2 linked regions of the Caenorhabditis elegans genome follow. The protein of the gene in region 2 interacts with the protein of the main gene of each other region in a biochemical or structural test. Each region holds a gene or a part of one and is shown on either strand. Other genes may lie near its edges.

Region 1 (8,064 bases), on a different chromosome or scaffold from region 2:
TTCCTCTATAAATTGTTACCTTCTCACATTTAACAAAAATTTGTCGTGTCGAGACCGGGTACCGTAGTTTTAGTGCAAAATTGGCGAGTCGTCTGAAAAATCTATTTAAGCAAATCTAACGGGTATCGGAAATTCGTGAAAATAGAATATAATTAATTTTGAAATTGATATTTTTCAATTTTCCAACAAACAAAATTAAATATTAGAGGTAAAAAAATGATTTCCAGGTTGCATGGCAGAACGAGTACGACACGACTTGCTAGAGAAGCGGAATTTGGTTAATATTGTCGCAGGTGCGTTAAAAAATGCGTAAAATTCATGAATAAACACCTCAAATTTTACAGGTCCAGACTCGTACCGAGATCTTCCTCGCCTTGTCGCAGTTGCTGCAGGTGGTTCAAATGGAATTAATGTGCAACTTTCTCTCGATGAAACGTATGCAGATGTGCAACCGATTCGAGTCGATAGTGCTTCCAAGACGGCTTTCATGTTTGTCGATTTAAAAATTTCAATTTTAAAAAAACATTTTAAAACTTCAGTTCGATCATGCGAGGCTGTGACAATATGTGCACATACTGCGTGGTTCCATTCACAAGAGGAAGAGAACGAAGTCGGCCTATTGAATCAATTGTAGAAGAAGTTCAGAGGCTTCGAGATCAGGGATACAAACAGGTCACACTACTTGGACAAAATGTGAATAGCTATAGAGATATGACATCGATGGATTTCTCAATGGCTCCATCGACATCACAAGAGGACAGAGTTCCCGGTTTTAAGACTGTTTATAAACCAAAAAGTGGGGGCCTGACCTTTACAACATTGCTTGAAAAAGTCGCTGATGCAGCTCCAGATATCCGATTTCGGTTCACTTCCCCGCATCCAAAGGATTTCCCGATGCAGGTAACTTTTATGAAGCTTTAATTGATAATCATGATAACCTTCAGTTGATCGAGCTTATTGCATCCCGTCCAAATCTCTGCAAACAACTTCATCTTCCAGCACAAAGTGGAGATGATGAGACATTGGAACGGATGGAAAGAGGATACACAAGAGATCTGTATTTGAGATTAGTTGATGATATTAGACATGTTTTACCAAGTGAGTATGAATCACTCTTCAAACAAAACTTAATTATTTTATCAGGCGTCTCTCTGACAAGTGACTTCATTGCCGGATTCTGTGGAGAAACTGAACAAGCTCATCAGAACACACTTTCCCTCATTCGAGCCGTTCGTTATTCATTCTGCTTCGTTTTCCCCTACAGTATGCGTGGAGTGAGTCAGTTGCTGAAAATTGTTCCTATCAGATTATTTTCAGAAAACGCGAGCACATCATCGGTTAACAGACGATGTTCCAGAAGATGTAAAAGCAAGAAGACATTTAGATTTGACTACTGTATTTCGGGAAGAAGCATTGAAATTGAACCAAGCGCTTATCGGGTCGGAACAGACGGTTTTGTTGGAAGGAGTGAGTCATCTATAAACACCAATAAAATGAATTAAAATAATATTTTTAGAAGTCAAAAAGGGATGCATCATTTTCACATGGAAGGATCGATGGTGGTGTGAAAGCAGTGTTCGACAATTCGAAACTCTGTTTGGAACCTGGTCAATATGCAAAGATTCTGATCACCGACGCCAATTCGCAGACATTGAAAGCGCAACTCATAGGACAATCCAGCATCTGATCTATAAATATAGTTGAACCTTACACTTCATAGAGTAGTTATCTTTGTTGTTTGTTATTGTTAAAGATAAATCGTTTGAGTACACGAAAATGAATTTATTCAGAGCTCGTTCATTAAAATACAGAAATTCCCGAAGGAATAAAGAATAAATAATTGTTACTTGAACGGAGATCGAGGAGGAATAACGAGTGAATTGATGGGTTCGATTTAAATGTCTCCTCCGCGAAGACGAAGAACGAGATGAAGTGTCGACTCCTTTTGGATGTTGTAATCGGATAGAGTGCGTCCATCCTCGAGCTGCTTTCCAGCAAAGATCAAACGTTGCTGATCTGGTGGGATTCCCTCCTTATCCTGGATTTTGGCTTTGACATTCTCAATGGTGTCCGAAGCTTCGACCTCGAGAGTGATGGTTTTTCCAGTCAAAGTCTTGACGAAGATCTGCATACCTCCTCTGAGACGGAGCACCAAATGAAGAGTAGACTCCTTCTGGATATTGTAGTCCGAAAGGGTACGGCCATCCTCGAGTTGCTTTCCTGAAAAACAATAAAAATTAGTTTTAATTCTAAAAACAATATGAACTCACCAGCGAAAATAAGTCTCTGCTGATCTGGTGGAATTCCTTCCTTGTCTTGGATCTTGGCCTTGACATTTTCGATGGTGTCGGAGGCTTCGACTTCGAGGGTGATGGTCTTTCCGGTCAATGTCTTGACGAAGATCTGCATACCTCCTCTCAGACGGAGAACCAAATGAAGAGTAGACTCCTTTTGGATGTTGTAGTCGGAGAGGGTACGACCGTCTTCGAGTTGTTTTCCGGCGAAGATGAGTCTCTGCTGATCTGGTGGGATTCCTTCCTTGTCTTGAATCTTGGCCTTCACATTCTCGATGGTATCAGAGGCTTCGACTTCAAGTGTGATGGTCTTTCCAGTCAATGTCTTGACGAAGATCTGCATACCTCCTCTGAGACGGAGCACCAAATGGAGGGTTGATTCCTTCTGGATATTGTAGTCCGAAAGGGTACGGCCATCCTCGAGTTGCTTTCCGGCGAAGATCAAGCGTTGCTGATCTGGTGGGATACCTTCTTTGTCTTGGATCTTGGCCTTCACGTTCTCAATAGTGTCAGAAGCTTCCACCTCGAGCGTGATGGTCTTTCCTGTAAGAGTCTTGACGAAGATCTGCATTCCTCCTCGGAGACGGAGAACCAAGTGAAGAGTAGATTCCTTCTGAATGTTGTAATCAGAGAGCGTGCGCCCATCTTCCAATTGCTTTCCTGAAATAATAATAGTTGATTTGAGTTATGTATATCTATATAACGTACCGGCAAAGATAAGACGCTGCTGATCTGGTGGGATTCCTTCCTTGTCTTGGATCTTGGCCTTCACATTTTCGATGGTATCAGAGGCTTCGACTTCGAGGGTGATAGTCTTTCCAGTCAAAGTCTTCACGAAGATTTGCATACCTCCTCTCAAACGGAGAACCAAATGAAGAGTTGATTCCTTCTGGATGTTGTAGTCCGAAAGGGTGCGGCCGTCTTCGAGCTGCTTTCCAGCGAAGATGAGACGTTGCTGATCTGGAGGAATTCCTTCCTTGTCCTGAATCTTGGCCTTCACGTTCTCGATGGTATCGGAGGCTTCGACTTCGAGGGTGATGGTCTTTCCGATAAGAGTCTTGACGAAGATTTGCATTCCTCCTCGGAGACGGAGAACCAAATGAAGAGTAGACTCCTTTTGGATGTTGTAATCGGAGAGAGTACGGCCATCCTCGAGTTGCTTTCCGGCAAAGATCAAACGCTGTTGATCTGGTGGGATACCTTCCTTGTCTTGGATCTTGGCCTTCACGTTCTCAATAGTGTCAGAAGCTTCAACCTCAAGAGTAATAGTCTTTCCGGTCAAAGTCTTGACGAAGATCTGCATTCCTCCTCTTAGGCGGAGCACCAAATGGAGGGTTGATTCCTTCTGGATATTGTAGTCCGAAAGGGTACGGCCATCCTCGAGTTGCTTTCCTGAAAATATATAATAAATTTTAGGTCAAATATTAGATATTTTGCCAACGTACCAGCAAAAATAAGTCTCTGCTGATCTGGTGGAATTCCTTCCTTGTCTTGGATCTTGGCCTTGACATTTTCGATGGTGTCGGAGGCTTCGACTTCGAGGGTGATGGTCTTTCCGGTCAATGTCTTGACGAAGATCTGCATACCTCCTCTCAAACGGAGAACCAAATGAAGAGTTGATTCCTTCTGGATGTTGTAGTCCGAAAGGGTGCGGCCGTCCTCGAGCTGCTTTCCGGCGAAGATAAGTCTTTGCTGATCTGGTGGGATTCCTTCTTTATCTTGAATCTTAGCCTTGACATTTTCGATCGTGTCGGAAGCTTCGACTTCAAGTGTGATGGTCTTTCCAGTCAATGTCTTGACGAAGATCTGCATACCTCCTCTGAGGCGGAGCACCAAGTGGAGAGTAGACTCTTTCTGAATATTGTAATCAGAGAGTGTGCGTCCATCTTCCAATTGCTTTCCTGGAAAAAAATTAGTCTCTCATGAACAAAATTTGTTATATGTAACATACCAGCAAAGATAAGACGCTGCTGATCTGGTGGGATTCCCTCCTTGTCTTGAATCTTGGCCTTGACGTTCTCGATCGTGTCGGAAGCTTCAACTTCAAGTGTGATGGTCTTTCCAGTCAAAGTCTTGACAAAGATCTGCATTCCTCCTCTAAGACGAAGAACCAAGTGAAGAGTAGATTCCTTCTGGATGTTGTAGTCAGACAGGGTGCGGCCGTCCTCGAGCTGCTTTCCGGCGAAGATGAGACGCTGCTGATCTGGTGGAATTCCTTCCTTGTCTTGGATCTTGGCTTTGACATTTTCGATGGTATCGGAAGCCTCCACCTCCAGGGTGATAGTTTTTCCAGTCAACGTTTTGACGAAGATTTGCATGATTGCTGAAAAAATAGAAAATGAGTGCGAATAAAACTGGAATGAGGAGGCGAGAGAAGAGGTGATTATGAAAGAAAGTCCTAGAAAGTTGCGAAATATTACCCAAAAAATCGATACACTAGTAAGACTAACAAAGCAAACTTCATCCCCACTCGTCATAGGCAAGTCAAACGAAAAAAGAAAGGCATAAAAGTAAAATGGTAGTAAAGAGCTAATCGATGAGGAGTAATGTCCGAGTAGAGACAAGTGAAATGAGAATGGAGACAAGGTGGCACGCGAGCGGAGCGTTCTGGTCGAATGGGGTGTATGACTGCTGTATGCCCGCCTCAACGATCGATAAAACCCCCAACGCACGCGCACACTGACTCCGCCTTCCCCGAGTGTTGTTAGAGACGCAGATGTTCAGCTGATGTCCTCGTTTCTCTGACCGAAAATAACTACCAAGCAGTATTGCTAAAATGGGAAAATAATTCATATAACAACTGATTGAGATTATTCAAAAAAGCATGACATTTCTGTTGGTTTTACCCCGCTAAATCTTACAATTAGACAAAAAAAAAGAAACTCACCGTTTGGTAAACTGATTCTTGACAGTAATAAATTAAAGAGCGCCCAAAACGTGAATATTGAATCTACACGTTGAACTTTACTCAAACATTCTAATTAAACGACGCACGTATTATTGAAGGCCACAAAGTAAAAAATGTTGCTATGCTCACTTTCTGTTAGCAAGAAGTCGCCTATTACGAGAACCAGTGAGGAAGAGCAAGAGAAAGGAGGGGGGGGGGGGGGGTCGCTGACTCAAACGGCACTCTTTCTGCACAAGAAGAACATTCTAGAGTGCTGTGTAGGGAAAGAAATGATGAGGAAGAAGGGGACAATGTGTGCAGAGGGAATACAACGAAAATCGAACGGGGTGTTCTTTTTTCTCGTCATGCAACTGGGTCGACCAGTTTCTTTTCATCTTTAACTAAACGATAGAGAAATCATAGGCCTGAATAATAGTGACGTCTGTGTAAAGTATTGTTTCCATTTTTGTTACAGAAAATGATGAAACGAAGAATAGGAAAAGTGAACAGGGTCAGTTGTTCGTTTGACGCATATATAGGGAGAACATAAGAAAGAGCAGACGGTCAAGGACATTTTTTTATAATCTGCGACTAGCAGGAAAGTATGAATAATGTCCTAACGGCACCCGAACCAATTTTCAGACAGACGCGAAAGTGCTTGTACTTTGTACTGATGAACGAACGACAAAACAAGTGCAGTGAGAAAACGGGAGGACACTGGGGAGAATCATGTGAGCCCGTCATAAGACTAAAAGATGAGCTAGTGGCGATCAGGCGAAGGTTCAATACGACTATTGGGTCTTTTCAAGAGAGCCCCGGAAAACTAAATTTAAAAACATCAGTTAAGAGTACAACGAGAACAGGGAATGAGGAACGCACAGACTAAACATTAAAATTTTCCGATACTTTTCGAAAGTATTGCGAAATCAATAACAAAATACTTTGCTATGAGTTTTTTAAATGAAAACCGAAATAATGCAATTTTCTGAATGCTGGAAAGAGTGAAAAAGCGATACGAAAAAGCAGAGAGCAGCGAAAATAGCCGGCAACTCAAGATAATGAGAGAGCGCGAATGAATGAAGAAAATGATGGAAAGATCTGGAAAACAGAAACGAGCGGCAGAACGAATGCGAACGCGCCTTTCATGGTAGTGCGTGGCGGTTTCGTGGCGGGACCCAGGGAGGATTGCAGAACATGTTCCTTTAAATTAATTATTTATATTTTCATTGTAAATTTGTTTAAGAATACGAGAATTCTCGAATCCAGTTTGGAAAATATAATAAAAATTAAATGTTTTCAAAGAAAGATATCGAGACAGTTGCACATTAAACTTCCCGACAAAATCTATATTTAAATACGTTTTTCGAGTTTCTGATTTATTATGTGTCATGTTAAAATTGAAACATTACGCAATACTTTGAACTATGTTATTTATCATCAGAAAAAATTGACGTCTCATGAAAAATTAAAGCCTTGTGATCAAATTTCAAGGGTAACAAAAAATGATAATGACCAAAGCTTCATGTTTCTGATAAAATTTTATTGTATGGTCTTATAGGAGAAAATTGTACAATTCTCATTCTCCGGAAATTATTCCGAAGTGGAAGCTCACACTTGTTTTTGTTTTTCTCCATATCGAAATTTCACCGGGCTAAAATAGGAATGAGTGTTTGCGGAGGGTTGTCAAATTTGGTAGGAGGAAAACAAAATAGACGATAGGCGGAAATAAAGCACCTGGCAGTAACAGGTGCAGTGAAAGAAATAATGGAAACGATAGAAAAGTAAAGGTTTTATACAGCATTGACAAGCTGGATTCTTCTCGAAACTCGGGAATATCGCCACGTTGGAGAAAATCTAGTTTTTTTGTAAAGTTCTGTGGAAGCTTGAAAATGACTGCAAAGTTTTCAGAGAAACAAAGGAAAAATTGAAGTTTAAAGTTGTGTTCGAAAACGAAAATCGTGATTTATATCCTGCATTCTAACGAATAGCAATGAATAGTGATGATTTATTTCATCATCATTTTTCTCTTTTTAAGCCACGTCATAACTATTTGTATCTTCCTCACAATTGTTCAGTTAACTGAGAAACCTTTTAAAAAAGTATTATCAATTGAGAGATCACTGGCGCTTACTTGACGTGTGGCTATCTCGGTAGAAAACACGGAGAGACGCAAACATGTTTTTGGTGCGGAAAGTGCGGAAAAGAGGTGTTTGTTAAGTCGGCTGTGGGGAAACGAGAGGGAGACAGATACAATCTTGAAAAATTGACGACTATGATGATGATGATGCAAGCACGGAAATGGATGGTGGGGACTGGTTTGGAGAAAGCATCACGGGTCATGTGAGAGAAGAAAGATGCAAATAGGGAGGAAAGTGATGGAACGGGTAAGGGTTGAAGGGAAAAGGTATTATAAGTGTGGGGTTTTGAAAAATAGGGGATTGAAGGGATGTTTATAGGGTTAGAAAGATATTAGCATGTTGCAATTTTTTGCTTGCCACGATTTGGCAATATTTTCAACTTTCCAATGTGACCTAAAAAAAGATCTGGATCTTACAGCGAAGATTGTATACTTTTTATTCTGCGAACAAGAAACTTCATTCATTGCAAGACCAAACACAAAAGTTTATACGTCTTTAGTAGCGCCTATTACAACTTCGGAACTTGTTCAAAAATATTTTCGTGTCTGAAAATTGTAGAACTTTGAATATACAAAAATGCTACATGAATCTCCAAGTGTCCACGTTTTACCAAAAAAAATTGGCAATCTGCCAAAAAAAAAAGTCTGAAAATTTTGAAAAACCCTAAAACACATTAGAGTCCATATATCTACATAGTAATTTTTAAATTCATTATGAGTATATTTTGACAATATTCCAACTGTCG
Region 2 (6,850 bases):
ATTTTCGCAAGAGTTTTTGACGTAAAATCGAGAAAATTGGTCCATAAAACTATTTTTAAATCTAAAATCACGTTTGTTTCATGTCTAAAATGGACTTCAAGCTTCTCTACAAAATGCGAAATTTTCAACAATACATATTCACATAGAGAACATAAAAAGAACACCAAGAGTTTCTTGACGTTTCTGGAATTTTTTGAATTAAAAATTCTTACACTTCGTATTGATATGATATTCCTTAAAGTTGTTGAACAGTTTATCCTCTCTTTTCAGGTAAAAAATCACCTCACTAGAACCTAGTTTTTGAAAAATGTAATCTCCCCAACTGCTAATTCAACTTCACTGGTTAATGCTCCCATATAGTCGATATAAAATTCCTCATTCTCCTCTTTTCTCTGTTTTCTCTATCGAATAGTTTCAACTATAAAGAGAGAAGAGAGTAACGCTCATTATTCAGCGAATAGAGCGCCGTCTCGGCTGGCAAGAGCTGCCTGCCAATTGGCATCTCCAATAAGTCCGAGTGTGTGTGTCCATTCCACGGCTACATACGCATCCAATTCTAAACATCAGCTGATCGTCTCCCCCGCTGCGTCTCTTCATTGCGCGTGCTCTTTATGAACTTTTCCGCCTGCGTGCGACTGGTCATGTGCACTTTTTGCATGCGGTCTCACATGATTTACCACGTATTCCTGGCTGCTGCCTGTCTTGACGTGCTTGTTGGTGAACCACCACCCTTTTACCACTTCTTCCACCCCTTCTCTTTTATCCACCCATCGATTCGTGTTCTCCGTATCTCGTTCTCTATTCACGGCGTTCCCCTCCTCGGCCTCCTTTTGGTAAATACGTGGTGGTCATATGACTAACAGCCGGGAAAAGAGAAAGAGCCCCCCCTGTGACTTTTCTGTTTTCCTATGCCTGATTCTCGCAAAAAAATTTCTTGTGTATCTTGAGAAGAATAATTAAGAAGTGAAGCCAGTTTTTTTTGGTTTGGCCATTCTAACTTTCTTGTCGATTTCGAATATTTTTTCAGCTTTTTCAAAAAAAAACCCACCTCAGTCTCAAAATTTTCGCAATAAGAAGTACTATTTGAAAAACTAATAAAGGTGGTATGCATTATCGTTTGTTTTTTGTCTATCCGCAAAAGCTCAATTCCAATCCTCAGAACAAAGTTTGTTTATCATTCATAAAACAAACATCAATCAAACACCTCCTTATCTATTTTTCTACCCATAGAACCATTTTTATGTCAAACTGTCTGCATCTTCTGTACCACGCATAATCTTATTTCAGTTCAATCAATCTACACCTGTGTTTCTTGAAAAACATGTTGGTCTACGTGCAACAAGTACGATCCACATGTGAACATCATATGATTGCATCACATTCGCCTGTTCAACCCTGTTATATTGGCGGATAGAGTAGATAGTAGATAATTGCGACCCAAATCTTCTTTAGTAATTTGCTATTCGTTTTATTTGTCTTAATTGTTGTGACCGGTGTCACTTGCAAGTTCGACTTTCGAAAAGTGGTGAGGTGTATCATGTGAACTTTTTGATTTTTCATGATGGGTGCCCGCCTGTCAACTCGGTTTTCGATTCAATCACATTTCCGTGCAAAATTCTGGCCAACATGACATTTAAGAAGTTCACAATCTGATCAGATTCTTATTTAATTAGTAAGACAAGTTTGTGGAAAGAAGTTTCTTAAGTTATTTCATATTAGTTTGTATGCATCAGTTTTGTTCTTCTACCTAGTTTTTCAATAATTATTTTCTCATCTACATTTTCCATTTCTTTTTTAGAAACAATATCTGGTTTGTTGGCAATACGGTCACATGTACTTCGGAAAAGCGAAAATGCGAGCGAAAAGTGAGACAGAGAGCGTCTGTGTTTGTTGGTGTATCACGCGACATAATAATATGCCTGGCTGGGTGCCAATTCTACCATTTTCCTCGAATTTCTGATTTCCTGAAATTCGCCGCAAGTTTATTGGCTTTTACTAGGATTGAGAACCTTCATTTCCCCCTTTTTTCAGTTGGTTCAAACTTTTCAGAATCTGATTTCGGAATAGTACATATTTTCCACGACTCTTTTATCTCAAAAATCAGCCACCTGACATCAATAACGTTGATTTTTTTCTTAAATATATTTCATAAATTTGCCCTGTTTCTTTTACTCTTCTCATTTCTCCACAGTAATGTTATTTTAATTGCCTTTCTTAATTTCAAATTTTTATGTCGCATCACGTGTTGCGAAAAACACCCGTCTCAAAACCACAGTTGATCACGCTGAAAGCAAGTTTGTGAGTAAAAGTAGTGAAAATGAGTAAAAAACACGCGTGAGCAGGCATCTCGTTTTCTGACTATCTAATTAGCTACACTCTTTTCCATTTAGTTCTAAAATTAGAAGAGAGAACCAATTTTTGTGAATTTCTTGAGAAAAAAAGATGGGTTGCAATATTTTTTAAAAAACATTCTCATAAATTCTTTAAAGAGAGCTATGAACCTATGCTTTATTTGAAAAATACTCAAGGGTTATCAAATAATAAAAGCCGAATACGACAAATGTTTATTAGTTCCAATCCATCAAATAAACCTTTTCCTATTTGGCAGTTGAATATATATTTGCTCACAAATATAATACATTTCTGGCTTTTGCTCTTTTTAATTCACAACTATTCTGTTCTCATATTAAATCGATTCAATCCGGTCATCTCATCTTTCTTGTCGTCCACCCACCACGAAAAACAAAACAATCGCGTCTCAAACATTCGCAGTACACCACACAGAGCGTCTCAGATAGCACAAATGTAAATAAGCAAATAAATAAATAACTGACTGGCTGACGGAATGAGGTTTCAAAATAAAGTAAAATTTAACGACTTTGTGAAAAGCAAAATATTTTCATTCGTCTCTCCAGTTTTTTTTCCGGGTATTTGCTCTGTAGAAAAGGTATTATGAAATTTTTTGTCTAACGGACCTCCTTCACTTTTGCCCCCAATTCTGTTTTATTGGAGAAAACGTTTATAAATAAACTACGCCATCTGCTTGTGTAGACTCTGAATTTGTTTGTTGATTTTGTAGAGTAGATATGAAGGACCTAGCAACACCTGCATCGTTGGGTTGCTATAACAACTCGTATTTATTGTTAACCCGTAACTACTTCGCTATTTCTTAATTTACAATTTTACAAGTTTCGATTTCTTCTCATATTTGTAAACACAATTGGTAATAATAGTATAATAGTAATGTTTCAGAGACGGGTCTTTCCTAACAATGTCCTCATTTCTTGAGTTTGCAAAACCCAAAATGCTCGATATCAAAAGAAAGATCAACTTTGCGTCCGGCGAGAAGACGGATGAGTCTGTGCAACCGCAACAGCAGACGGAGCAGTCATCGGCTCAACAGACAACACCATCCGCAAAAGCCGTCTCAAACCCATTTATCACCCCATTGACCGAGAGTACACCTGGTTTGTTTTACTTTTTTTTCATTACACTTTTGCCCTAGGCAAATCGTTAGATGAATTCTCATGTGACCGATTGGGCTTTTGATTTTTTGAAAGTACACACATCTTTGCAAGTTTACAAATTTAACACCTATTCACTTTTCACTAACTCCAACTTAAATTTCCCATGTTCTTGAACGCTTCAGGTATGTCAGAATCGTGGGTGGAACTGGCACCAAGCCGTACCAGTTTGTGCAGTAGCGTCGATATTAATATGGTGATCATTGATGAAAAAGATAAGGATTCGAGGCTGAGCCCAGTCTCAATCGCACAATCTCCTCACGTGGAATTCGAGAGCTTAGAACAAGTAAAGTACAAGTTGGTTAGAGAAATGCTTCCTCCCGGAAAGAATACTGATTGGATTTGGGATTGGAGCAGTCGGCCAGAAAATACACCTCCAAAGTAAGTTTTATAGCTACTAATGGGTTGAAAGAAGCTTAGTTATTTAGACTTCAAAATTAATTTAGAACCAGGGATGCGCTGCATTTGCTAACCAGCAGTTCTACAAAATAAGCCAGCATGGCATGTTCTCAAAATAATTCTAAAAAACGCAGATACATTGTTGAAAGATTAAAACTGCTAGAGAAAAGTTACATAGTTTGTCGGACTATTTTCAGTAATTTTCAACTTTCAATCTAAACTAAAATATGTTTGCTAATTGAAAATTTTCTAAAAGAGATTTTTTGAAAATACTTTTATATTCCATACCTAAATGTTACTGAAAATATTGGAAGAACATGTTGCAAGGTTCAATTTGTAGAATTGCTAGTCGACACCCCTGCTCAAACCATACCGATTTTATTCTGTGTTGAAAAAAAAAACAAAATTTGCAGGACTGTCCGTATGGTTCAATATGGCTCCAACCTTACCACTCCGCCAAACTCTCCCGAGCCAGAGCTCTACCAATACTTGCCATGCGAATCTGATTCGCTTTTCAACGTTCGCGTAGTCTTTGGTTTCTTAGTCACCAACATCTTCAGCTTTGTCGTTGGAGCAGCAGTAGGGTAAGTATTTTTTTCAGGAAATTTCTTCCAGAAAAACTGATTGTCTTCAGATTTGCTGTTTGCCGGAAACTAATCAAACATCATCGTCAATAATTCCAAACAAAAATTTTAACGTTCCACTTACCTCATTTCACTGTACATACATTCCAGCAGTGCTGGAGATTGGGCATTTTTACCCTTTGATTCACAATACTACATTCTCTGCAAAATTCTTCCGGAGTCTTCTTGCATCTTGTCAAAAAGATTCGAATAAACAATAATTTTGCCATGTTTCCCTTCTCTCCAAATTGTCATCTTTCAAACTGTCTCCTGAATATTCCTAATACTCAAAACATTCCTACTACAGTTTTGAATTCAACACATCTAATCGCGATTTGCTCTCACGATTAGGTAATTTTAAATTAATTATGTACATAATATAGCTTTATACACTGAATGTAATTACGACTTTTTCTTTGCTGTTACCTGGGCATTTTGATTCTGAAACTTGCTTTTCCATGTTTTTCTGTCATCACAAATTGTAAATATTTCTAAAATACTGTTACAAAACCACGCATTTTAATAAAATGTAAATATATTTTTGTTTAGTTATGATTAAATTTATTATGCTGGAATTTTTAAAAACTGATAAGTAGACAATTGCACAGATGTTATTAATTGCACAATTCAAGAAATGTCTACAACGAATCATTCTAAATACCAATTTGCACGGAAATAAATTAAGCTGAAATCTATGTTTAGTTAACTAAAAGCTCATAAATCGCTTATAATCCTTTGTTGAAGTACACTCGATCTCCCTTGATATTTTTCAGTTTTTCAAAGGCTTCGGGCTCCCATCTTTTCAATGTTGAAAGCTTCACAGAGTTTTGCTGAGGGAAGAGAGCGCATCCGACAGGAATCATTGCACCATAACTAAAATTCACATTTGTTGTCTAGAAATATGACTGCTCTCTCACATCACAAAAGTTAAAGCCAATTGAGTTGGAATGTTGAGTTTGTTGATATGCTTCCGGAATGAGGCCACTTTGTTCAAGCCTTCCATGATGACAGGAGTGAGGACTAAAATGAGGCATGAAGCATGACAGGAAAAGAGTAACGGCTAAACTCACTCATGCATGGGGCAACGATAATATTTCTGGAGAGAACCACCAGGGAGATGGCTTTAGCTGCGGCTAACCGGGAAACTCCAACGTTGTTTCCATCGGCATCAGTGACAGTCATACCTTCTTTGAGTTCACTTTAAAAAAATGATTTAAAGAACTTTTTGAAGAGTCAACATTTCCACTATTTAAATTCAACTCATAAAATTATACCCATATGCCAACAATAACGTGAAAAACCTCAATTTATAGGTCAACACATTTCCGAATTTTTTTTACGGTTTCTAGTTGAATACAAAAGTAGATGGTCTTCAGTTTACAAAATAAAAATACCATAATGGTTCAGCTGCAACATCATAGACAGCCTTATTTTAGAAAATCCAGTTTTTCATTGACCTCTCTTCATTATTAATAACTTATTGCATATAAGAAAAAAGTCAAAAGCGGAATGATTTTAGGAGTTTTACGTTTTGATTTTAATTTTGAATGGGTTTCAAAATAAATCACTGATAAGAAAGCAAACTTTAAATTTCTGTACTCCTAAATTTCAAAGCTTTCAGATTCAGGGCTACAAAGTTAACCTCGGATTAAAAACATTTAAAAACTTGGTTGAAACTAAAAAATACTGATTATTCTCTAATAAGTACTCACTTCTGACGCATCATAGGGATGTTAATAGCATTAGCCACTGCAACGGCTCCCAGTGGTACTAATCGTTGAGCCAAAGGACTGCTCTGTTTCTTAGCAAAATATGTTTTCAGCCCAATTGCCATTGCCAGTGCTCCAGACACTGCTGTAGAATACGATACAACTAAGTCTTTTGTTGTCAATGTGCTCTTTGCATTTCGATTGGTATAATTGACCAGTGCATTAAATGACTGATTTGCCCATTGCCAGAAAATTACAGCTGGCGTCGATTTGTACCTGGAACAGTAATTGGTTTACTTACTTTTATACTTTTACTTACTTTTACCTTTTAGCTTACTTTTAGCAATACTTTTTCACTTACCAGATCATCATTGCACCACACAGCATTGTACCACCCCAGACGTTGAAGCACATCCTTCCAGCAAAGTTCTGAAGTTCTCCAGTATCCGGATGAAAAGCTGATTGACACAGACGTTGCGAACGATGAAGTTCCTCAAGTGTTGCCGGCACTGGCTTCTTCTCTCTGTAAACGTTTTTTTTATTTTTGAAAAAATTTCTTCAAAGATATTACAAAACTGTATTTAACACAAATTTT

Evidence for each region. The genes of interacting proteins can lie anywhere in the genome.
Region 1: of the proteins of dct-1 (region 2) and ubq-1, one has a biochemical effect on the other in vitro, tested with the Caenorhabditis elegans proteins (one study listed by BioGRID).

The regions. Positions count from the first base shown.
Region 1 is NC_003281.10:5,937,539-5,945,602, reverse strand, and holds ubq-1 (Ubiquitin-related), read right to left. Parts: upstream 4,618-8,064; 5' UTR 4,613-4,617; coding exon 4,246-4,612; intron 4,196-4,245; coding exon 3,740-4,195; intron 3,687-3,739; coding exon 3,003-3,686; intron 2,955-3,002; coding exon 2,271-2,954; intron 2,221-2,270; coding exon 1,895-2,220; 3' UTR 1,776-1,894; downstream 1-1,775. Other genes in the region: F25B5.5 (CDK5RAP1-like protein), read left to right, coding at 228-293, 345-489, 540-900, 945-1,098, 1,144-1,274, 1,318-1,467, 1,517-1,687. UniProt on the Caenorhabditis elegans protein: Ubiquitin exists either covalently attached to another protein, or free (unanchored).
Region 2 is NC_003284.9:7,951,104-7,957,953, forward strand, and holds dct-1 (NIP3 homolog), read left to right. Parts: upstream 1-3,252; 5' UTR 3,253-3,271; coding exon 3,272-3,467; intron 3,468-3,649; coding exon 3,650-3,905; intron 3,906-4,336; coding exon 4,337-4,507; intron 4,508-4,557; coding exon 4,558-4,600; 3' UTR 4,601-5,083; downstream 5,084-6,850. Other genes in the region: sfxn-2 (Sidoreflexin), read right to left, coding at 5,272-5,419, 5,464-5,566, 5,617-5,744, 6,259-6,531, 6,617-6,778. UniProt on the Caenorhabditis elegans protein: Initiates apoptosis in a BH3-independent mechanism possibly by recruiting ced-3 to mitochondria and other cytoplasmic membranes. Has a role in lifespan and tumor growth. Required for the induction of mitophagy under stress conditions.